Arabidopsis thaliana: one gene and its partners. The protein of the gene in region 3 binds, or shares a complex with, the protein of the main gene of each other region. Each region holds a gene or a part of one and is shown on either strand. Other genes may lie near its edges.

Evidence for each region. The genes of interacting proteins can lie anywhere in the genome.
Region 1: RPL4 (region 3) and AT5G47190 share a complex: the UniProt entries of both Arabidopsis thaliana proteins name them as parts of the 50S ribosomal subunit.
Region 2: RPL4 (region 3) and AT2G43030 share a complex: the UniProt entries of both Arabidopsis thaliana proteins name them as parts of the 50S ribosomal subunit.

What each region holds. Positions count from the first base shown.
Region 1 is NC_003076.8:19,162,274-19,170,489, forward strand, and holds AT5G47190 (Ribosomal protein L19 family protein), read right to left. Parts: upstream 3,863-8,216; 5' UTR 3,792-3,862; coding exon 3,762-3,791; intron 3,673-3,761; coding exon 3,343-3,672; intron 3,172-3,342; coding exon 3,085-3,171; intron 2,997-3,084; coding exon 2,863-2,996; intron 2,268-2,862; coding exon 2,159-2,267; 3' UTR 1,911-2,158; downstream 1-1,910. Other genes in the region: AT5G47180 (Plant VAMP (vesicle-associated membrane protein) family protein), read right to left, coding at 1-16, 119-234, 320-401, 509-579, 932-992; RAB1A (RAB GTPase homolog 1A), read left to right, coding at 4,756-4,769, 5,193-5,265, 5,488-5,535, 5,620-5,667, 5,764-5,835, 5,923-6,078, 6,173-6,276, 6,352-6,445; AT5G47210 (Hyaluronan / mRNA binding family), read right to left, coding at 6,949-7,128, 7,213-7,260, 7,346-7,504, 7,605-7,746, 7,829-7,894, 7,990-8,216. UniProt on the Arabidopsis thaliana protein: Located at the 30S-50S ribosomal subunit interface and binds directly to 23S ribosomal RNA.
Region 2 is NC_003071.7:17,890,357-17,897,792, reverse strand, and holds AT2G43030 (Ribosomal protein L3 family protein), read right to left. Parts: upstream 2,998-7,436; 5' UTR 2,896-2,997; coding exon 2,080-2,895; 3' UTR 1,911-2,079; downstream 1-1,910. Other genes in the region: NPG1 (tetratricopeptide repeat (TPR)-containing protein), read left to right, coding at 1-1,088, 1,179-1,326, 1,416-1,744; PAO2 (polyamine oxidase 2), read right to left, coding at 3,353-4,091, 4,172-4,269, 4,360-4,462, 4,558-4,643, 4,758-4,845, 4,937-5,050, 5,147-5,235, 5,321-5,436 and 1 more. UniProt on the Arabidopsis thaliana protein: One of the primary rRNA binding proteins, it binds directly near the 3'-end of the 23S rRNA, where it nucleates assembly of the 50S subunit.
Region 3 is NC_003070.9:2,246,046-2,253,928, reverse strand, and holds RPL4 (ribosomal protein L4), read right to left. Parts: upstream 4,963-7,883; 5' UTR 4,740-4,962; coding exon 3,908-4,739; coding exon of another isoform or gene 3,903-3,907; exon of another isoform or gene 3,757-3,902; coding exon 3,740-3,756; 3' UTR 3,400-3,739; downstream 1-3,399. Other genes in the region: AT1G07330 (dentin sialophosphoprotein), read right to left, coding at 344-706, 814-1,574, 1,661-2,798; AT1G07310 (Calcium-dependent lipid-binding (CaLB domain) family protein), read left to right, coding at 5,096-6,154; AT1G07300 (josephin protein-like protein), read left to right, coding at 6,924-7,113, 7,636-7,883. UniProt on the Arabidopsis thaliana protein: This protein binds directly and specifically to 23S rRNA. May play a role in plastid transcriptional regulation.

The DNA of each region.
Region 1 (8,216 bases), on a different chromosome or scaffold from region 3:
CACTGTCCTTGGTGAACTAGACACACAAGTATTGCATATATAATGTCAATTTGTTTTCCAAAAACTGCAGAAACAAGAAGAATCTTAATAAAAAAAGTTTTAAACTTGGATTTCTTACAGTGTCTTGAGGAAGTTCATCCACATCAGTGTGTGGAGGTACAATGGTACTTTGCAGGAGAAATTTGTCTTTGCACTGCATATCTGGAGGATACTCTCGTTGCGCTTGTAGAGTAACTATAATTAAGAAGATCTTAATCATCTCCATGTTCAAGTTTTAAACTGCTAATGAAAGAAGTTAGAGTATGAGGAATTACTATACCTCTAATGATGCAAGAGTCCCATGGCTGAATGACACCAGTGTTAGGTCTTACAAAATACTTCTTTGGAGATGTTGTTTTCACCTGATTGATGAAGCCAAAAACACAAAAGAAAGAAGCCATTGTAACAAACGAAATAACTTGATCACAAGACAAAGCATATGAAGTTGGTGGTTTGATGCAGAAATTACCTTGAAAGCAACATAGTTCTCTGTTTTATTGGCAACTTTAAGATCACAGTAGCTTTGCTTCTCAAGTTCAACTGAAACAAAATCAAAAATTCCAAATGTCATCCAAAGGAAGACCCTCCAAAAAGTTTCAAACAGCAATTTTCTTAATAACCAAGAGAATCAGCCTTATCTAAAGTCAGAACCTCAAAAGCTCAAAGAAGTTAACAAAAACTTGATGCTGGTGTATGTAAACAAGAGGAAAACAAGCATTGATGATACACACAATTTCGAAATCTCTAGAGAACAAAAAGATGGTAAATTCGAGAGAAGCCTTTTCTCATTCACATTTCACAAATTAAGAATAGATATCCCTAGAATTAACCAAGTATAGATGAGACAAATGCATGCCATTGATTAACGAAGAGAGTGTAGAAGAATGCTTACAGAGAAATTTGAGTTCATCAGGTTGAATGGAGATAAGCTGATTCTCGCCAACGCCGGTCATCTTTTTTTTTTGTTTGCTTAAAGCTACGACGACAAAAGTTTCACAATCAAATCTCTATTGAAAAAAGTATACAACAACATCAAAAAATCGAAGCCCTAATCCAAACAATTCCGATTTTATCTAACTTTTTTCCAGAAAAGGTAAAAAGAGGGGAAAAACTGAGAAATGAAGAGAGGAAAAAAAGACGGATCAAACCTGAAGAAAACAAAAGTCACGGTCCCAACGATGAGGGAGGAAGAAGCTGCTTATTTTTTTCTCTGGCTCTCCCGATAATCGCTCTCCACCAATATCCCAAAACTCTCCTCCTATCTCTCTCCTCTCGTTCTATTCGTGGTAACAAAGGCAAAAGAAGAGAGAGAAAGAGAAACGGGGAAGACGAAACCCAAAGGCGCTTCGTGGAGCGGCCACGTGAAGTCGAAGCAAAGTTTCCGTACGATTTTCCTCCGGCGTCGTCTCCGGGAACTGCGGGGAAGAAGAAAGAGCGAAAGAGAGAGAAGAGAGGGAAAAATGTGACACGTGTGAAAACAGTTGTGCATTGTAAGAGACGAAAAAACAAAGGTTAAAAGCGACAGGCTGGAAAAAAGAGGATGATGACGTGGCAGATATTGATTGGTGTTTGATTTTATATAGTGGCTAAAAAGGCTATAATGAGCTTTCAGGGTGGTAGGCCATTTTTCGTCTCTCACGATTGATGATATTTTAAATTTATTTCTCCGTGTCCATTAATGATTGATTGTTAGCAAGTAATTAATTATCGGACATAAAAGTCATCATACAGAGGAAAGAGACAAGAAAAATACTCAATCATTCGTTTCTTTTTTCCTGCTTTAGCTGGAAAATTCATTTACATGAATGAATTACATGATTTTACATGTAAAAAATCTATTTTGAAAAGCAATTTCAATGATTCAAAAGTTTTATTTTAATGATTAAATCAGTCATATTTCTGAAAAAGAATACTAAAGGGTCCAGATTCTACATACTCAAGATCAAAACAATCAACATTGATTTACTTTTCTTAAATTACTGTTACTGTAAATTACATGAAAAGAAATGAAATCCAAAAGACGAAACAAACAAACAATTATTACAAGAGAAAAGAGAGTAGCTAGCTACCTTTGGAGATTGAAGACAACACAAGACAAGACTGGTGTTGGGTTTGGTGATCATTTAAAAGTTGAGAGACGAGGAAGTTTGTCCCTCAGATAGTAAAGTCTTGCTCTTCTCACTTTCCTGTGACTTACCACTTTTATCTCCTTTATGTTGGGAGAGTATCTGTTAAATTCAAAACACACATCACATCAGATACATATTCTAAACCAAGATCAAAACATATTACTTGATTGTGTAGATTAGTATCTGTTCAAGATCAAAACATATCAGTTACATATTACTTCATTGTAGAATCAGCCAATAGTACTGGAAAGTTCATAGGGACTAGTATGTTATGATAACGGCTAGACTCTAGAGTGATTAAGATTAAAGGTTGGTGCGCGTTTCTGTAGTAAATAAGCACAAAGCTTGGTGACCTATAATGCTAAGACTTCCAGCATTTATGTACTAGTTCCTATAGTATCATACTTGGAGTAGCAATTATTTCCTTTTTTCGTGAAGAAAGCTAATACATATGATCAGATATAGAATTGTAAATCTCTTAAGTTCTCAAGAAGCGAAGACTATGACTGTTCACGATAAAAGAAGCTAATTCCGGTTTGTTTTAGAGTTCCTAAAATCTCTCTCAAAGCCAAAAGACTCCTTAACAAGGTCAAAGACCCTTAACTCTGACTATCTAATACTATTTACATTTATACTTATCAATATACCCGAGTAAGTGTGTGATAATAGGATAGTTAAGGAAGAATAAACTTACATGGGAAAGACGATTTCAACACCAATGCCTGCAATAATCCTCCGGATACGGATAGTAGTGTGGATGCCTGCATTTTGTCTAGACATCACAATACCTTTGTAGATAGATAGCCTACGTTTGTTCTCAGGAACTTCCTGTAAAATCAAACCCACCATGTCGTATCAAAATCTTGCAGTTAAATGCATAAATTGCATAAGATTATACGGGGACAATGAGTTTTACCAGTTTGATTTCTACAATATCCCCAGTCCTAAGTCCAGGAACCGGTCTTACAGTCTCTGCAACCTCAATAGCTTTCTTGTTCAGTAGCTACAGAAACAAAAAGCAAATCAACATTTCATTTCTCCAATGCCTAAAAGATAACTGATGATTTAAGAACAGGAGCCAAAACAACTACAGTATCAGACATGTATAATCAGATTCAGAGCCAAAACAAAACACTAGACAATCTCATAGAATCACATTGGATAATGAACTAACCCCCATGATATCTCCGAGCTTGACTCTCGTCTTCCACGGAGGTTTAGCTTCCTCCGCCGCAACAGTGGCTTCTCCTTCTCCTTCCGCTTCAGTTTCAACAGCATTCTCCACAACAGCCTCAGTTTCACCTTCAGTACTCTCTTCAGCTTTAGCGATAAACTCTTTTCTCTTCTTGGAATCGATGGCGAAACCAAAATTGGAGCTCGAATGATTGAGAAAAACCCTAGAAACTGATAGTCTTGAGTTCACTGATGATGCTCGTGGTAGAATTGAAGAAACCCCTAAATTCTTCGACGAGAAAGAAGGGGTTCTCGGTATCATATGCAATGCCTGGTTCCATAAATGGTAGATAAATACAGAATTCAAAGAAGCATAAGTATGAAAATGTGATTGAGCGTGAGAGAGTGAAGAAGAAGAACCTGAGGAAGAAGATGAGAGCTCGTCGCCATGTTTGCACAACCCAAACTCGAAACCAGAGTAAAGAAGAGCCTTATCGCTTATCCGCTCCGTGTATTTCAATTTATGGGCCATTTACTAATTTTATGGGCCTAGACATTTAGGCCCATATTCAATTGATATAACAAGAAACCCATTACCAAAGCTGGTTCTACCAGTCTACCACCACGAACCAAGGCTTGTCCAAGTACACTAATGTAGAACCAAAAATGGTTTAAATAAAGAGTTTCTGTTACAAACAAATGTATGTTTATGTGTCCTTAAATTGATAGCTCTAAATAATCTACTTTGGGCCTTTTAAAAGTTATGATTGACGAATAAATTTCTGCTGGAGTTGAAATATTATTCTATGTGACTATGTTGTATATTCAAGTCGTCTACATGTTCACGTTACATTGACTTACACCGCAAGCGATGAAAAGCTATTATATGTTAGTTTAATCAGAATACCAAAAAGATAATAATCAAAATATTCCATCTTCTTTCTTTGTGAAACGAATATATATTCTCTTACAGGTGGTTTAATTAAAAGCTTGACAACAGTACGTAATATTAGCATACATATAAAAAGTTACATTAATTGGATACGAAATTTTAATCTCCTAAAGATAGTTATTCTCCGATTGTATAGAATCAAAAAAGAAAAGAACAAAAATCGACAAAGAAGAAGAAAAAAGATTGATTGATTCTTTTGTCCTCCACGCATCTCTCTGAGTTGGCTCGGCCACGTCAGCATTCAAACATCAAAACCAAAACGCATTTAAATGTCGAAAAGAGTGGGTCCCTTTTTTTCTTTTTTCTTAACCGTGTCATTGACAAAAAGAGCACTTAATAAGCCAAAGCCACATAGAAGAAAAAAAAAAGAACATTCACGTCTCTCTCGTTTTTTTGGCCGACGACGATCGCTGAATTGACTGCCGGAGATTCCTTTAATCGTCAGATTCTCGTTGAGGGATAATGAATCCTGAATAGTAAGAAACTTGTCTTCTCGTTGTTTCATGTATCTATTGTTTCGGATCGATCCGCGTTTTTTATTTTTTGATGTGTTTGGTGATTTGGTTTTTGTTCGATTTTGCTTTGGATCTTTGTTGGTTGTTAGGTTTGTGAATTGAATCTACCTAATTTTGCTCGTTTAAGGTATTTTGTATTAGAATTTTGTATAGATTTGGATTTTCGTTCCATGGATCTTATACAGGTCAGATCCGAGGAAATTTGATCGAGATCTGCAATTTCTGTTTACTGTTGTAGTTGAAATTCGCGAGTGTGACACAATTTTCCCTTTGATCTCATTAGCATATTGTATATAGATGTTCTTGCGTTTTTATTTCCTGACCCGAATTTTCATGAGTTTATGAGCTTCACTGAGATTGGTGTTTACCGTTCTGTTGTTGCAGTGACTATCTGTTCAAGCTTCTGCTTATTGGTGATTCTGGTGTTGGAAAATCATGCTTGCTTCTAAGATTTGCTGTAAGTATTCCCACAATTCTGGATTCATCATCTCTGGTAGTTACTTTTTAACATTGTGTACACACAAAAATTTGAGGATCACATCTTGGAGTTCAATACCTGTTGCTCAAGACTCAAAACTCAAAAGTCATTACTCCATTGGATTAGCTTAGTTCTCACTATGGTATCATTGTTACTCCTTTGTGTTCTTATTTCCTGATATCTTGAATTTTATGTGGACAGGATGATTCTTACCTGGATAGCTACATAAGCACCATTGGTGTTGACTTTGTAAGCACCTTCATTTGCTCATCACTCATTTATATACAGGAATCAGAATAATAAGTGTTAACCTTTACTAATGATATCATGCAGAAAATTCGCACAGTTGAGCAGGACGGAAAGACCATCAAACTCCAGATCGTAAGTGTTCTTCAGCTAGATATGCAATCATAATCTGTTAAAATTTTGGAAAGAGCAGATAGTTACTCTTGTTTTGGTAATCGCCTGTGTATACAGTGGGACACAGCAGGCCAAGAACGTTTCAGGACAATCACTAGCAGCTACTACAGAGGAGCTCATGGGATCATTGTATGTACTCTTACTCTAACCAACCAATCATCTTCTTGTTAAATAACACATCCTATACCTCTTGCTCACAATTGCCTATCTTTGCAGGTCACTTATGATGTCACAGACCTAGAGAGCTTCAACAACGTCAAACAATGGCTGAATGAAATTGACCGTTACGCTAGCGAAAATGTGAACAAGCTACTGGTTGGGAACAAGAACGATCTCACTTCACAGAAAGTTGTATCCACTGAGACAGCTAAGGTAATTTTATAATAAACTAGGTGAACTCTCTATCCACGTAAACCTTGTCTTAAAGAGAATAACATTTTTGTTGTCTCATCTCCTTGTCCCACAGGCTTTTGCAGATGAACTTGGGATCCCATTCTTGGAAACAAGTGCTAAAAATGCAACCAATGTGGAAGAAGCTTTCATGGCTATGACTGCTGCAATTAAGACAAGGTTAGAAACTAAATTTTACTTGTGAAGTCATTAACCCTTTACTTCCATACTTAAAAGGTTTTGTTGTTTTCGCAGAATGGCTAGCCAACCAGCTGGAGGTGCCAAGCCACCAACGGTCCAGATCCGTGGACAGCCAGTGAACCAGCAATCAGGCTGTTGTTCTTCTTGATTCAATTAGTCACCACTCCTCTTTCGATCATCACACCATTATGATCATTTGTTTGCATTGCATGTTAGACTTCTCCAAATTAACAACTCTTTGGATCCTTTTGCTTGTTTTTCATTTGCTTTCTTTTGATCCGATTCTTTTCTGATGTACGTTGAAGTTTGAAACCCATAACTTCTATATAGTAAAAGGTCTTTTATGCAAATAATGTAGAGCACTCTTTAATGCCTTCGACGATTCTAAATCATCGCTCAAGTATGAAAGATACTAGATATCGTGCTATTAGAAATATACTTCATTTATGATGTACGAAAAGAAAGATCGAATGTGTAATACCAAAATTAGAGAGAAAAATATCTTAATAATTTTTTTCATAACTTAAAAAACGTAATAGTTTCGCAGAAAAGACCTTCAGAAAGTGTAACAAAAAATTATAAAACTAACAAAATTCAACCAAAGAGAAACGAAAGACAGAGATAGCGAGGCTGAAGGACCAGGGGTCTTTACTAGCCCAACGAAGGGAACTGAGCTGTGTCTCCAATCGCCGGAGCTGCAGCTTCTTTTGCATACCTTTGGTTTCCTCCTTCACCACGACCACCGCGACCTCCTCTTCCGCGGGAGCCTCCACCTCTCCCGTTGTACCTCTTTCCATCAGCCGGCTTCAAGAACTCATTAATGCTCAACGACTACAAAATCACCCAAAATCACTCAGGTAAAAAAATGACACAACCCAAAAGAAATCATGAAGTGAGAACAGAAAGAACTAAGACCTTTTTGGCCTTCTCAGTAGCATCTTTGCGTTTTTCCTTGTCAGATCCCTGAAACAATAAAATACCAAGTATTAACTATTGCTCCGTTACAGTGAAGGGAATAGATAAACTGAACAGTAGATGATTTTCTGACCAGCTTGATGAAGATTTCTTCATCGGTGTTCTTCTTGTTAGAGAGCTGTTGCATGGACTCAAACACTTTGGTGTCAACTTTCCTTTCCTCAACCTTTGTGGCTTGCAGAGCCTTCTTCTTCTCCTCCAGAATTTTCTCATACTCTTCTAGAGTCATCTCCTATATGACAAAACCATATCAGTTCAAAATGTTAGCAAACATTCTACTTCAAACTTAACTAAACCTCAAAAGATGTTTCAAGAGCTGTAAATGATTGTACCCTGGCTTCAGCTTCTTCAGCTTCTTTCTGTGCTTTCTCTTCCGCAGTGAGTTCTTTCTTTGCTTCAGGGGTTTCATCCTCACCTCCTTGCTTCTCAGCAACAGGGCTCTTCTCAACCTCTGTGGTAGGTTCCTCAGACGTTCTAATATAAGAACAACAAAAGTTTATAAACAACCTAAAGTTAAAGTCATATGGATAATTAAAGTGAAGACAAGGATGCTTACGGAGGGATATCATCTTCAGTAGTGCCCCAGTTTCCACGACCTCCACCATTACGTTTCATGCCAGTACTATCAAACATCAAGTTAACATAAATGAATCACAAACAGAAGAAGTCAAACAAAGTAGTAACTAAAGTAGTGGACAGAACAAAAAGAAAGCTTACCCATGACCTGTCCTGCTATGGCGGTCATAATTCCTCGGTGGGCGTTCAACATCACCAGATTCCCCGTTGGCAACTCCACCACGGCGAGGTCCTTCACGACCACCGCCAACACGGTATCCACCAACAGACCCACCACGGCTTGCTCCATCAGCATCTTCAGAAGGTCTCCTGTATCCTCCAGAAAATCCATTCTCATTTCCAGGAGCATCATTGTTCCTGTTGTCCCG
Region 2 (7,436 bases), on a different chromosome or scaffold from region 3:
CTGCGCTATGGAAAGAATCTGGTGATTATCAAGAAGCCATATCTGCTTATAGACGCGCGCTTTTAAGCCAATGGAATCTTGATAATGATTGTTGTGCAAGGATTCAAAAAGATTTTGCAGTCTTTCTTTTACATTCTGGAGTCGAAGCGAGTCCACCGAGTTTAGGTTCTCAGATAGAGGGATCGTACATACCTAGAAACAACATAGAAGAAGCCATTCTTCTTCTAATGATTCTTTTAAAGAAGTTTAACCTCGGGAAAGCGAAATGGGATCCGTCTGTGTTTGAGCACCTTACCTTTGCGTTATCTTTATGTAGTCAGACCGCGGTTCTCGCCAAGCAGCTTGAAGAAGTAATGCCTGGTGTGTTTAGCCGTATTGAGCGTTGGAACACTTTGGCTCTTTCTTATAGTGCAGCAGGTCAAAACAGTGCTGCAGTTAACCTTCTTAGAAAGTCTCTGCATAAACACGAACAACCCGATGATCTTGTGGCGCTTTTGTTAGCTGCTAAGCTTTGCAGTGAAGAGCCTTCTTTAGCTGCTGAAGGTACGGGTTATGCGCAGAGAGCGATAAACAATGCTCAAGGTATGGATGAGCATTTGAAAGGCGTTGGTTTGAGGATGTTAGGACTTTGTTTAGGGAAACAAGCGAAGGTTCCGACATCGGATTTTGAAAGATCTCGGCTGCAATCAGAATCATTGAAAGCATTAGATGGAGCTATAGCTTTTGAGCACAATAATCCTGATTTGATCTTTGAGTTAGGTGTTCAATACGCTGAGCAACGGAACTTAAAAGCTGCTTCCCGTTACGCCAAAGAGTTCATCGATGCAACGGGAGGGTCAGTGTTAAAAGGATGGAGATTTCTCGCGCTTGTTTTGTCAGCTCAACAACGGTTTTCAGAAGCAGAAGTTGTGACTGATGCTGCTTTAGATGAAACTGCAAAGTGGGATCAGGGACCTCTCTTGAGACTCAAAGCAAAGCTGAAAATCTCTCAGTCAAATCCAACAGAAGCCGTTGAGACTTATCGTTACCTTCTTGCATTGGTTCAAGCGCAAAGGAAATCTTTCGGACCTCTCAGAACTCTTTCTCAGGTTTCAAAATCTCTTTTGTTCTCTAATCTATTGAGATCATCAATCAAAACCTTTTTTTTTTTTTATTGAAGAACTTGTACAATAACACAGATGGAGGAAGACAAAGTGAATGAGTTTGAAGTGTGGCATGGCTTGGCTTATCTTTACTCAAGCCTTTCGCATTGGAACGACGTAGAAGTCTGTCTGAAAAAAGCCGGAGAGCTGAAACAATACTCTGCTTCAATGTTGCATACAGAAGGCAAGAACAAGAAGCCATTTAACTAATCTCTTAGAATCATCCATTACTTGATTTACTCAAATTTGGTTTGAATCTTTGGGAATGATCAGGTCGAATGTGGGAAGGACGAAAGGAGTTCAAACCCGCGCTAGCAGCTTTCTTGGACGGTTTATTACTAGACGGATCATCGGTTCCTTGCAAAGTAGCGGTTGGAGCGTTATTGTCCGAAAGAGGGAAAGATCATCAGCCAACTCTCCCCGTGGCTAGAAGTTTGCTCTCTGATGCATTGAGGATCGATCCAACAAACCGAAAAGCTTGGTATTACTTAGGAATGGTTCATAAATCTGATGGACGTATAGCTGATGCTACTGATTGCTTCCAAGCTGCTTCTATGCTTGAAGAGTCTGATCCTATTGAAAGCTTCTCAACCATTCTTTAAAAATCCATCATAAAGATTTATATTCATATGTTCATTTTTTGTCTGTCATCTCATGTACAATTTTAAACCTTCTTAATTTCTTCAAACTAAATATATATTACATTGTTCGTTAGTTCTTTATGTTTAGAACTTTAGATGCTGAATTTTGGATACGCTTTCGAGTTTTGTAATCGCAGTTGAATCACAATTCAAGAACATTAGCATAGAAATACTTCCGACTTATACAAAAACTCCAATTCTAAGAAAGAAACTGTGATTTAGCAATTCGATACAAATTTTCAAGGAATGGATAAACACAAGTCAACATTACAAAACAAAACAGAGTCTCTTCTCTACTAGTTCTTGGGAATGTTAACTCCGACGATTTTAGCGGGAGTAATACGAAGAAGATTCCCAGGCTTACCAGGCAAAGCACCTTTGATCATGACAACATTAAGCTCCTTATCAACTTTAACAATCTTAAGCTTCCTAATCTTTGTCCTCGTCCCTCCCATTCTTCCAGGCATCTTCTTCCCTTTATAAACTCTTCCCGGAGTAGTACCAGCACCAATCGAACCCAAAGCTCGATGACTCTTGGAACCATGAGTCATCTGACCTCTCTTGAAATGATGCCTTTTGATTCCTCCTTGAAACCCTTTACCAATTGTGGTTCCAGCTACATCAACGAGATCACCTTCTTTGAATATCTCATCGAACACAAGCTTCTGGTTCGGTTCGAATCCTTCGATGTTTGTTAATCTGAACTCTTGGAGATGTCTCATTGGGATTGTACCGGCTTTTTGGAGATGACCGGTTTCCGGTTTAGTTAGCTTTTTGTCGCGTACACGACGGTAACCGATTTGAACCGCGTCGTAACCGTCTGTGGCTAGGGTTTTGATTTGGGTTACGATGTTACCTTCGCGGAATCCGACGACTGTTACTGGAACTACTGTGCCGTCTTCTTCGAAGAAACTCATCATCCCGAGTTTTGACCCCATTACTCCGATTCCAGCTTCCATGGATGATGAAACCACGAATCTGGTTTTTGGTGATGATTTGATGAGAAGTGAAGAGGATTTCGCCGGGAGGAAAGTGGGAGTGAAGAGTGAAGAGGATAAGGTTGTTTTGTTGAGCAGAGATGGGAAAGAAACAACCGCCATAGCTATCGCCATTGTCGGAGATTCACAGAGGAGAAGAAACTCTGAGAGAGGATAAAGCTCTGTGCCACACTCTTATCTTCTTCTCCAGTTATGAAATTTATTATTATACCGCTGAAGATACTCATATTTACAAAACACGGTGGTTTACCTTTTGCAACATCGGTCCTTTAAATCTGATTTTATTCATTTTGTATTTTTTCTTCTTATTGTATTCAATTTAACCTCTTTCAAGATTGGTGTTTATATTAGTTAGCACAAGTGAGAAAAGAAAATAGTACTTGAATTCTTAAAGATGATTATCATATATAAATAATATCACAAGGATATAATGTTCCAATTTATTGAATTAAAAACACTGAGAAAATAAGACTGGGAATGTTTTAAACGATCCGACACGAGAATAATTTTAGTTTCATATTAAGACAATCATCACTTGAGGTTCCTTCTAGTAAACGATAACTGATGGAGTTTAGAGACGAGATATAAGAAGAGGTACAGAGGCAGGTCCTTCCTCGCCCATCACAGGCTGGAACAGATCCAACTCACCATACCGCTCCAGAACTCGCATCCTACAATCTTCAGCTGCCATCAATCCAGTTGAATAAGCGCCGTGAACCGAGCCCGGGAAGCTCGAGCTCGTCGCTTCACCGGCAAAGAATAAGTTATCCACTGGAACCCTAAGCCTCTCGTAGAGATCATGAGGTTTGCCCACGATATCATAGCTATAAGATCCCATTGAATTCACATCAGATCCCCACCTCGACACGAGATACTGTACCGGAGGCAATGCATCGGGAAGAATTCTCTGGAGTTGCAAGACGGCGAAATTTGCAGCTGCTTCATCAGACATTTTCTCAATGTCTTTGGCAAGCTGACCAGCCGGCATGTAAACCAGAACCGGATGACCCGTGGCCTTGTGCAGGTTCAAAAAATAACTGCAACCGTAGGAGGTTTCAGCTACCACTCCTAGAAACTCTACTTTCGGCCAAAAGACTTTCTCAAAATGTAGTATGATCTTGTTCTCAATACCTACTCCTAGGTCGTTGATTGCTTCTTGTTTCCACTCAGGTAGCTTAGGTTCGAACTTTATGGTTCCCGATTTTAAAACTCCAAGAGGGACAGCAATGACTGCAGCATCCGCAACAAAAGTTTGCCCGTTTTCTGTCGTTACCTTCACTCCATTGTACCGCCTGACAATCTTAGTAACCCTGAGAGAAGGAGAAACACGAGGTTATGACTGTGAAACACTAAACGAATGCCATAACTCTTGAAAAACGCAAAAGCTTACCTGTGGCCTACTCGGATATCAAGACCTTTCGCCAGAGTATTGATGACAGGACGATACCCTCTAACCATAAGACCGTGTCCACCAGGCAACAATTCCTCCTGCACATTTCTCGGAGTGTTAAACCAAAAATTCAAGAAGCAGTCTATACAAAAAAAACTCTTAACTACGAGAGAAAGAATGTAACTAACCTGGTCCCAACACTTTGCAGAGATGGTTTCAGCATCTGCGGCAAACCATCCTTCCATGCGGCATACATACCATTGAAGTACGTTGTGTGCAAGCCCCTCTAACCTGGATGTGAAAATTCAAAATTCAACCATGAAACCAAGCTTGCAAAAGTGCATTGCCTAAAGAAATTGAGAAAATGAGACATTATGTATACAAACCTCAGCTCGGGTTTCCTAGAAAAGACAATTGAGAAAGCCTGAGAAATTGAAATGTCAGCATCCTGCTCATCCCTGACTTTATTGATCTGTGTTTGCAATAGACGAATCTAGTTAGCATGAGCATCAATCAAAGACTTGCAACATCAAGAAATACGAGAATAGGAATAAAGAAGAAATCTAAATGAATGTGAAGGACATACCTCTTCCAAAATACGCTCAAACGTTACGCCAATCTGAGTTACCAATTCTTGAGGAACTTGGTTGCCATCCATATCAAACAGAGCATAGCTACAGAAACAAAAGAATTGCACTGTGAGTTTTAAGGTGTCAAACAAGAATAAAAAGATGGAGGTAACAAAATCGAAATATTCAAGCAAACCTCTCGAGATCATGATCATACAGGACGGAATTGTCACCGCTAGTACGATACAAGGGCAGTCCAAGTCTTCCAATAACTGGTGCGAGAGGATTCTCCTTGCATACTCCATGCAGCCTGTGACATAACGATGTTGCTGTGTTAGCCTAAAGTTAACCAAAAACCAAAACCAAAACATCATCTAATGACAGGATGAAAGAGCCGTGAGATTACCATGATGCACCAAGATCAACAGGAAAACCAAATGAGTAATCAGTGTGAACTCGTCCACCAATTCTGTCACGGGACTCCAGTACCATAACCTAAACACCAAGAACCACACCGTGAGAAAGAGATATCAAAATCAGCTATCAGGATATATTGTATAAAACATGAAACATCACAAACCTGAAAGGAAGCATCCTGAAGAGTGCGAGCAGCTGAAATCCCACCGAAACCACCTCCGATCACAATCACGGAGGGCGACCTTGTCTTCATCCTCTCACCAGCTGAAAAGCAATTAGCTATATGAAAACAAAGCACACGAATTAACGACCGTCCAAAGTCCAATAAAGTATCAATTCTTCTAACAAAGAAACAATAGTGATTATCAGAATTAAACAACCCCACAAAAACAAAACTTGTGGCAATCAGCAGATACATCCAAACAAGTAAACGCCACGAAGGAATCAAATCACCGACAGAGAATTCAGCACGAGGGATAAAATTGAGGACCCATTAAAAAAAAAATCAAATTTTGTTTGATAAACCAAATTACCCAGATTATAATCTAGAGTAAGAACCCTAGATCCTTCCTATACATCAACGATAACAATCCGTAAGCGATTTCACAAAAAAGTAACAGACTTTTCGATGGAGGTTGAAGAAAACAGTACCTCTACGCATTTGACGATCAGAGTTTTTCCTGGACTCCATGATTTTTTTTTCAATTGATCAAACGATTACTCTCGAGATTATTGGAATTACGATTACTATTATTATTATTATTATTACTATTAAGCTGGGGAGAGAAATGAAGAATAAAGATGAGAAGACAAGTCGTGAAGTGGCTCGAAATCGAAGATGAAAAAATCAGGCTTCCAAACAAATTCATGCGATTTTCTTCAGGATTTTTAAACCCCCTCTCTGTTTTTGGTTTTTGTTCACCCTGTTTACTCAGCCGGACAGTATCAACGCAGATCTACGACGATCGGCGATATCTGATTCGTAATTCAAGCGAGCAATGGGGGCCAAAGGATCAAAATTCCCAGAAAAGCCAGAAACGAGGAAGAAGAGCTAGAGAGAGAGAGAGAAAGATGAAAACAGAGAGACTTCTAGAGAGAGAAAACAAAAAAAGGTCGGATTTTTTAGGCTTTGGGTCGGTAAAGTAGGTTAGGTTGTAATTTATAATAACGCATATGCTCCCTAATTATCAATATAATTATTAATTTTCTTATTGGATATAGATCTTTTATTGTAGTTTTTTTAGTAATTTTTATTTATTAAATACCTTAAGATTAATTATTTAATTATTTTAATATTAAAAGAGTTAAATTCAGTCAAAGATTTAAGATATACAATTAACAATTTCAAGATATGAACAAATTATTGGTAAATAATTTAGAACTAAAATTAGATAAGTAGTTCATTTCTATATTATTTGCTAATTATATAGCTTCTAGTATATGTTAATATTACTTTTTCAAAATTTAAATATTTTCTTTTATCAATAACAAAAATTGTGAATTTAGTTCTCTGTTATCACGTGTTCGTTTCGGTAAGCTTGATAAGTTACGTAACTTATCAAGTGGTCCAGTAGGAGCACGTGTCGTGCATTTATACGTTTTCCATCAAATTAAAATGTCAACACGTCAGCTTTTATGTCTGTATCTGGTAAATAATAAATATTTTGTTTCTTAAGACCTGACGATGTAAATTCTTTTAAAAAAGGTTTCTAGACGATTCTAATGATTTTAATAGGTATGATATTGATAGCTATGATGAGTTTCGTAAGAATTGAAGACGAACTTTTACCATAAAATTCCAACGTTTACTGGATTTTTATCCTTTTTTTAAGAAATTTTTAGTTTAATTCCATGAGCTATGATTTACGAGTAAATTACTCAAATGCAATTTAAAAACTCAAATACTTAAATACAATTATCTGGGCTTGATGGCTGAGTTTAGTTATTGTTAAAGCTAATATTTTTTTGACATTGATAATGATTTTGAATTATTGACATGATGTTATAACTTTCTTAGTAGTTTTTTGTGTGGATAGTAATAAAAATGTTTTTCTAAAGATAAACAAAAAAGTGGTGGTACTATTTGTGTAGCTTTTTTCTGCTGATACTATTTGCGTTTCTTTTCAAGCAAAAAACTACAATTTACAATGGATTTTGATAAGTGTGCGATATATACAAAATTAGATCACATGGAAGATCAGTATTCCTATAATCCTATTTCTCTTCTTTATTTGAGATGGTGACATTGGGTAATACAGTTGTCGAATCATTTGCTATGG
Region 3 (7,883 bases):
TTCCCATACTATAATACATTAAACTTTTTAAAAGACAACATAAATTATATCTCAGTTATCATCAAACAAAATGATGATCACTTCACTAAATCAAATTCCACACATTAATGTTCAACTTTAGCATATACATAAAATTTAGCTAGGGAACCTAAATCCTCTACACTGCATAAGCCTGAATTTGTTGAGTGTTCAACAAAAGGACAATGGCATCTAAAGAAGAAACTTCTTCTCTAGCTTCTCACTTGCCTCAGACTATCCTTGTTTTAGAAAACACACGTCATCATTTTGTTAAAGGTACATTTCAGTTCAAGTACTGTCATTGAAACTGATCTCTGAGCACACTTCATCTACTGTTCCCATCAACACCTGATTGATTCTGTGGAGATTCCGGATATGGAATCACTGGCGGAGGTTGACTATCTAATGTATGTTCCAAACTCTCAGAAGTCAGAGTATAAGTCTGGTCTAAAGATAACAACATGTCTGGTAACACTGATCTTGGGGAAGTAGCAGACTCGTCTGATGTGACATTGTTCACATTTGAAACTTCAGGTTCCACAAGTTCTTGCAACTCTTGAGTTGATTGGTCTCCATCATTTCCCCCAAAATGTTCTTGGGGTTCTTGATTTGTTCTTCTTTCAAAGGCTTCAGGTTCATCAGAGTCATCATTTATCTTCATCTCATCAGTCAAGTTTTGGACACGTTCCTGTCATAACGGTACAAGGAATATATTCAAATTCAACATTTTGAGAAACACATTGCAAGTAGCAATCATATTTCCATAAAACCTGACAAGAACAAGAACTATATAACCTCTTCTCTTCTCGAAATAACTTCATTGATGTGAGGAACTGTTGACTCTTCATGTATATAGAATCCTTTGTCTGAATTTTCCAGTGGAAAGCGTCCGGATTTTGAGCTCTCTTCTTCCTCAGATCTTCCGTTGATATCAGTACCATCAGACAGACCCTCAACTTGTTTGGCTACATAAGTTTCTGGAGAGACCTTAGAAATCGTTTCATTTAAATCTTTATCAACTTTCTCCACTGGTAACATTTGAGTTTCTTCAGTTCTATCCACAATGCTCTCCTCACCACTAAATCCCGTCTCCTTCCCAATGTCTGATTCGTTGACAATACGTGATTTTTCTTCATCAGAAGAATTATTCCCATCAACTGTAGTGGGAGGTGATCCAATTTCAGAAACCTCAACTTGAAGATCAGATTCTACAGATAACTTATGACCTTTTTTTGAGCTATAACCAAAATGCTCCACGTATCTTTGCCTTTCCGCTGCTAAAGAACTCGAAAGCGAACCAGTGTTTCTAGGAACTAAACCAACTAAAGGGTTTTCAACACGAAGATCACCATTTCCTTTCCCAGAAGTTCCAGAAAAATATGCTTGATTTGAGACATCAGAATTCATTTCCCTGTCTTCAGGAGAAAGCAATGAGTTTGAATCACTAACAACAATCTCTGTCATGTGTTCTGACTCCATATCATTTACTTCTCCTCTTGTTAGATCTTTTCCTTTCATTACAGGATGTTTCTCCCCAACCAATCCATCATTGCTACCTACATGAGCAAGGATCAGAATTGTAGAACTTAGAATCATTTACTTTGTAAGCTACAACATTTTTCAGAATGACAAGAGGATGTACCTTGTTGTGGTATTGACTTCTTTTTCCACGGTTCCCATTTCGTGTCAAGCTGATTGTCCAATGGAAAGACTCTGCGACAAAAGCTTTCATGGCGGCAGAAGAAGATATCATTAGGGTTGGCTGCAAACTCTTGCTGAAAACTATCTCCTGAGAGGTTAGGCTTCTCTTCTTGTGGATCATAAGGAATATCAAAAGGGTTTTTAGTTGGTAATAACACAGAAGGTGCAGATTCAGGCATTTGAAGACCATCAACTATATAGTTTTCTTGATCCAAACCGAAATAGTTCCGTCCAACACAGACTGGAGGAACTTCCATATCCATTAAGCTACTCTCAGCGGCAAGTCGGACTAATCTCCTCATTCTTCTTCTAGTAATCAAATGCTCTAACCTCTTGTTACGTTCCATCTCAGAGTTTCCTAAATCCATCAAATTCTTTTGATCATCCTCTGTCCAAGCTACAATCTTTTTGTCTTCACGTGTAGTTTCTTCTTCTTCTTCGCCTTCTGATGACGATGAACACTCGATCTCGGTTTCGCCACCACCACTAGTCAACCTCTCCGATGGATCCACAACGGAAACATTCCCGGTGGTTGAAAGAGTTTCTTCATCTAAGCTAGGCTCAAAGGAGAAACCTTCAGACACAAGAAAGGCTCCATCTTTCTTGAATTTCTGAAGTTTGGGAGATTTTGCAGTATTGGGAATTTCACCATAGAGAGTTGTTAAAATGACTCTGTCTCTCTCATCTTCACTAGCCTGAGAAGAGTCCCAATCTTTCCCAACCTCTTCAACTTTCCTTCTAGCGTTTCGTCGAACACTTCGTTGGTGCTTTAAGTCAGCCTTCCTTGTTTCTTCCTCCTCAGATCTCTTTTGGGAAAATGGTGAAAACCAATTATCCGTTTTGATATGCAAAAGCTTAAAACTTGGATGATTCCGAAGATAAAACACAGAGCATGCGATTAACGGAGAAGAGTAAAGGACGAAATAAAAAAGGCGTGGAAGAAAAATGTATAGGAGGAAGATAATTGCAGAAACACCAGAAACAACTGGGTGATTCCTTACGTTTCTATAAACGATGTTCGTGGAAAATCTGAGAATTTTCCAGAACAGAGTTCCGACATCTTTGGCATCGATTCCCATGTTTTAAACAGTTCAAATTCTCAGAACACTTTGAGAGATAATAACCCAAAGCATTCTGTCTATGGCGGTTTGTGTTTTGTCCTAGAGAATCAAAATGCTTGAAAGGGAAAAACAAATATGGTTTAATTGAAGAAGCGAAAATTGATCAATAAGAGAGAGGTCAAGCTTTCATTTGAAACAATAACCAGTCAATAAAAAATAGATTTTTCAAGGGTTTTTTTAGATTTTCGTTTTGGTTCTTTTTCAGTTTTCAGAACACACGGTAAGGACGGAGAAGACAAAATAGAAAACTGGTAAGAGAGGGCGGGAGTTAAATTAGTTGCTTTCTTACACATGTTTCCAAAGATTCTTGTTTTCTTACACTTTTAACCACATTTTTTACTGGTTCAGAAATTGACCCTTAAAGTTCATGGATTTTGCATCTCATATCTCTTTCTTCAAAAGATTGGGCTATCTTCTTAAGCCCACCAAGACCCATCAAATGTCTGTAAATAACATACACTATTGACACTTCCTAAGTTTTCTAGCTAATCCTTTTTTTTAGCAAGTTGTTAACAGATTTGTGTGAGACTATTCATGATTTTCAAAACCAAGATGAACATCAACGCTTAAAGCTTATAATAGCCACTCTTTCTTGTTAACTTGATGACTAAAGTCAATCTTTGTTGCTCAATCTTAACTGATACACACACAATCAACGTTACTCATGATATCTAATTTCACTCCTTACTCCTTCATTGAGAGTTGGACACAAAATCAGTATGACAAGAAATTGAGGATGATCTCTTAAGAAAAACTCTAAAAGTAAATACACATTTCTCTTGTTGTGACACAAAAAGGAAAGAGAAGACCTCATCAAGGAGAGTGAGAAGATGTACTCAAGATTAAACTCATAATTAAGCCACACTTGAAGCAATTGGAACTACGGGTGCTACTCATTCTTAAGCTTCCTCTGACCCTTCATAACACAAACAAATAATTACTTTTCCATATTAACACATCATATTTCTACCTCTTCAAGAAATTAAAACCAGACAAAAACGATCAAACACAACATTCAAAACATCAAATTTCGACAACAAGCCAGTTCCTTTCAAGAAAACACTAACCTTCCGTCTCATCTTCATCGTCATCTTCTTCCTCCACCGCATCAACACCGTACCTCGCATTCAAGAACTCCACAGCCGCAGGAGTCAGAACAAGCTTATCAGCGTTCAAAATATCAAACAGATTCAGTGTCCTAGGCGTCAACATCCTCAAGGTTCCAATGTTCCTACTCGATTTCGCCACATTCTCATCCACATCAATCATCAAGAACATAGCTTTCTCCTTGGGATCCAATCCCCACCTTTGCATCGCAGCTAAGAAATCTTTAGTCTTGGGCTTCTCAAACTTCTCCCCAAATTCCTCCACCACTATCGCACCACCTTCCGCAGATGCCGCACTCGATAACGCCGTAGATATCGCTAGCTTCTTCTCCTTCCTATTGATTTTAATTGACCAATCCTTAGGTCTTGGCCCAAACACCACACCTCCACCGGGACGTAACGGTGTTCTCTGAGATCCACGCCTCGCGTGGCCAGTTTTCTTCTGTGAGTAAGGTTTAATTCCACCACCACGAACTTCACCGCGAGTCAGTGTGGAAGCAGTACCTCGCCGCTTGTTATTCAGGTCCGTCACGATGGCTCGGTGCACAACGGCACGCGCGGTATCCTCCGGCGCCGCTTTGAGGTCTAGATACGTCTCTCCGACCTTCTCTCCTTCGAATGATAGAATCGGTAGAGTCGCTAGCTGGGAAGAGACAGAAAGCGGCTTCGAGACTCTGCCGGAGCCGAGTTTTGAAACGGAAATGTAGGTTTTAGGGATTTGGTGAGAGGAGGATAAAAAGAGAGAAGATGAGAAGAAAGATAGCGAATTTGGTGCTGTTGCAGAAGAAGCCATTGTTGTTCCCTGACCTGACCTATCACAACGAAGAAGAAGAAGAAAGACTGAGAAAGTGTTATCCACTCTTCAAATGCCTATCTTGTGCTTGGTGAGAATTTATGCATCTGTTTGGACATAAGGATATAACTATCCTGTTCATGAATAACTCCAGCTGTCGCTAGTAAGAAAGAGTCAAACTCCAAAAGTCAAAAGCCTCTTATATAGCCAGCAGGTTTTTTGAGACATAAAACTCTGTGATAAAACGATGATAGTTGATGATAGCTGAGACTTTGATACAGATATTTGAGATACGAGCGCACGTTAGCTAAGACCACCGCGTAAGCCACCGTCTCGTCTTGAAACGCACCGTATTCATGACTTCGTCGGAGCCACTCGACCTGGTTGTCACCGTCGTCTCTGCCAAGCACCTGAAGAATGTCAACTGGCGTAACGGTGACCTGAAACCCTACGTTGTTCTGTATCTTGACCAAGACCACCCTCTCTCCACCCGCTCCGATGATTCCTCCTCCATCAAACCGGTGTGGAACGAGCGGATTACTCTTCCTCTCACCCGATCTGTCCACGAATCGGTCCTCAACATCGAGGTTTTTCATTCCAATTCTTCGGATCTGGCGAAAACCCTCGTCGGATCGGTTAGGTTTCCTCTAGCTCGTTTGATTGACTCGGACGGGTCAATGATTCCGGAATTGATCAACTCGCTCGAGCTGGTTCGTCCATCGGGTCGACCACAGGGGAAGATTCGTTTGAAGCTCGCGATCAAAGACAGACCAATCCCTCCACCGCAGCATCCTCCGCCACGTCCTCAATCTCAACCACTAGATTACTATTCTGCCCCTCAAGGAAACCATTATTACTCCCCTAGCCCTCCTCCTCCTCCTCCTCCTCAAGCACCGATCACCGCTCCATCTCCTCAGCGTGACTACAGAGAATTCTCACAGTCACCGTCTCCGTCTCCTTACGCATTCACTGATCACTACTATTCCGGGTATTATTATCCGCCTCCTCCACCACGTTCAATGTACGATCGTGCCTCCAATTACGGCCTCCCAAGTGGCCCATCTGCTCCCGTTGATGCCTTCTCATCGATTGATCACAAGCAGCCTCCTTTAGCTCCTCCTCGGTTTTCTAACTACGGTCCACCGCCTAGTGGGCCCTCAGCACCCGTTGATGCCTTTCTGGTTACCGAGTACAAGCCACAAGCTCCACCTATGGGCTCGCGATTGTCTAGCTACGGAGTGCCTAATGGTCCATCGGCACCAGTCGATTACTCTCCTTATGATCACAGGCAGTTGCAGAAGACGATGGGTGGATTGAGCTTAGAGGAAGAGAGAGCTGCTGCAGAGAGGTCTGAGAGTGATTTCGGAGCTAGGCCAAACTACAGCTATGGCCGTGATTATCGCCGTGAATGTTGAGGATGGCAAAAAGTTGTTGAATTTCACAAGTGTGCGGCGTTTCTAAGGCTTTACTTATCATCAGATTTGTTGGTGTTAGAACACCAGGAAATGGCTGATGACAAAATATGAATTTGGTGAAGTATATGTTATGTCTATATGTATGTCTCGTTTGTGAATTGATTTGTTGCTTCTTTCTAGCTGATATTCGGTGTTACCCCTTCTGTACCTTTGTACATGTTTCTAAAACATCTCTCATTTCTTTCCTTCATTCAGTTTCTTGAATCAAGCTATTGGGTTCTTAGGGTTAATGTTCTAATGTGAATCACTTTACTGTTGATTTATTGTTTGAACCATGCTCTGATTAGGTATGGTAGTATGCTCTGTCTCAGACATGAACAGTCCTATATCCTGCGATTCTGCCGAATATTTTTGCAGGCTGGTTAAAGACTTTGGTTCTTATTTCATGTTTGATGATACCAATGTGTGATTTTCGTTTGGAACCAGTGATCTCCATATTCATTGAGCGTTTGGATTAATGTGTCTTGAATCATGCTCATCACAGTGCAGAAAAGATGTTCTCTCTGATCGTTTTGGGTAAAATGGTATGTACACGGTTGGTGCTAAGTCTATTGTGCTCTTGTTATAACGATGAGACAGAGCAGTTTTGCTATTGCATTCTTTTCCCTTTTGGCATTTTGGTAACCTGCTATACATATCAGTCAATCTCATGCTATTTGCATCTAATCACTGACAATCATGCAGGTATTATTGTTCTGTTCTCAATGGAATGTTTTCACATGTAAAATCACTCTATTCTCCAGATTGTGTGATCTTCTATTTATGTCCTGACACTCCCTGGTTTATTATATGCTTTCTCATATTCTTGTACCCACCATTAACTTGTTTTTTTGTTCTTTCCTTGATCCCTCCTTTTTATTGTAGCCGCAGACTCATGAAAGGAATCTGCATCCATAAAGGTAAGATTATATTGGCCTCTCCTGGAGTCAAAAAGAAACTTTTTTAGATTGTTATGTAACTTATGTGCACACATGAGTGATCATCAAAGAAGAATGATACCAAATGGTTGCTTAACCTTTTTCTTCACTTAAACAAAGGGTTTATTCCCTCTGTGGACCGTAAAGAAAAATAGAAAAAACTAAACCTAGTCTTCTCTTTTTGCTCTTGGGCATAGTTCTCTTTATAAATTTGTAGATCCACTTTAACTACAAGTCTTTTTATATATAGGGTCTAAAATAAGATTGAAGTTACACTTTTTTGTTAGTTGTTTATTTGTTTATGTCTTGAGTGCTTAATCATGGCCTAAGCGTAATGATGTTATAGATAATATACATCATTAATCATTTCATGTCTTTTCCCGTATTTGCCTGAACTATCAGCACAACTGTTCTCAGCACCAGTCCGTTAAATATCTCTCATTATCCTCATATTGTTTCCCATAAACTTCTCTCACTCTCTCTATCTTTCTCTTGATATGTCAGCTACTGGTATAAAACGGTCCAACCTCAACACTAGACCGGTTCAGAGAGATGCTTCGGCTAAGCAAACAGCTATCAAGGGACCTTATGGTAAGAGTCCGGGATGCACAACAAGCTGCGGATTAAGGTTACCGAGGAAAACAGAAGTGACAGCAGCAAAATTGATCAAGCATCTTGGATGCAAATTTGCAAAAGGTTTGCGTCTGGTGGTGATGAGGAAGAAGAAAAGATCTCCACCGTCGAAGGTTTCT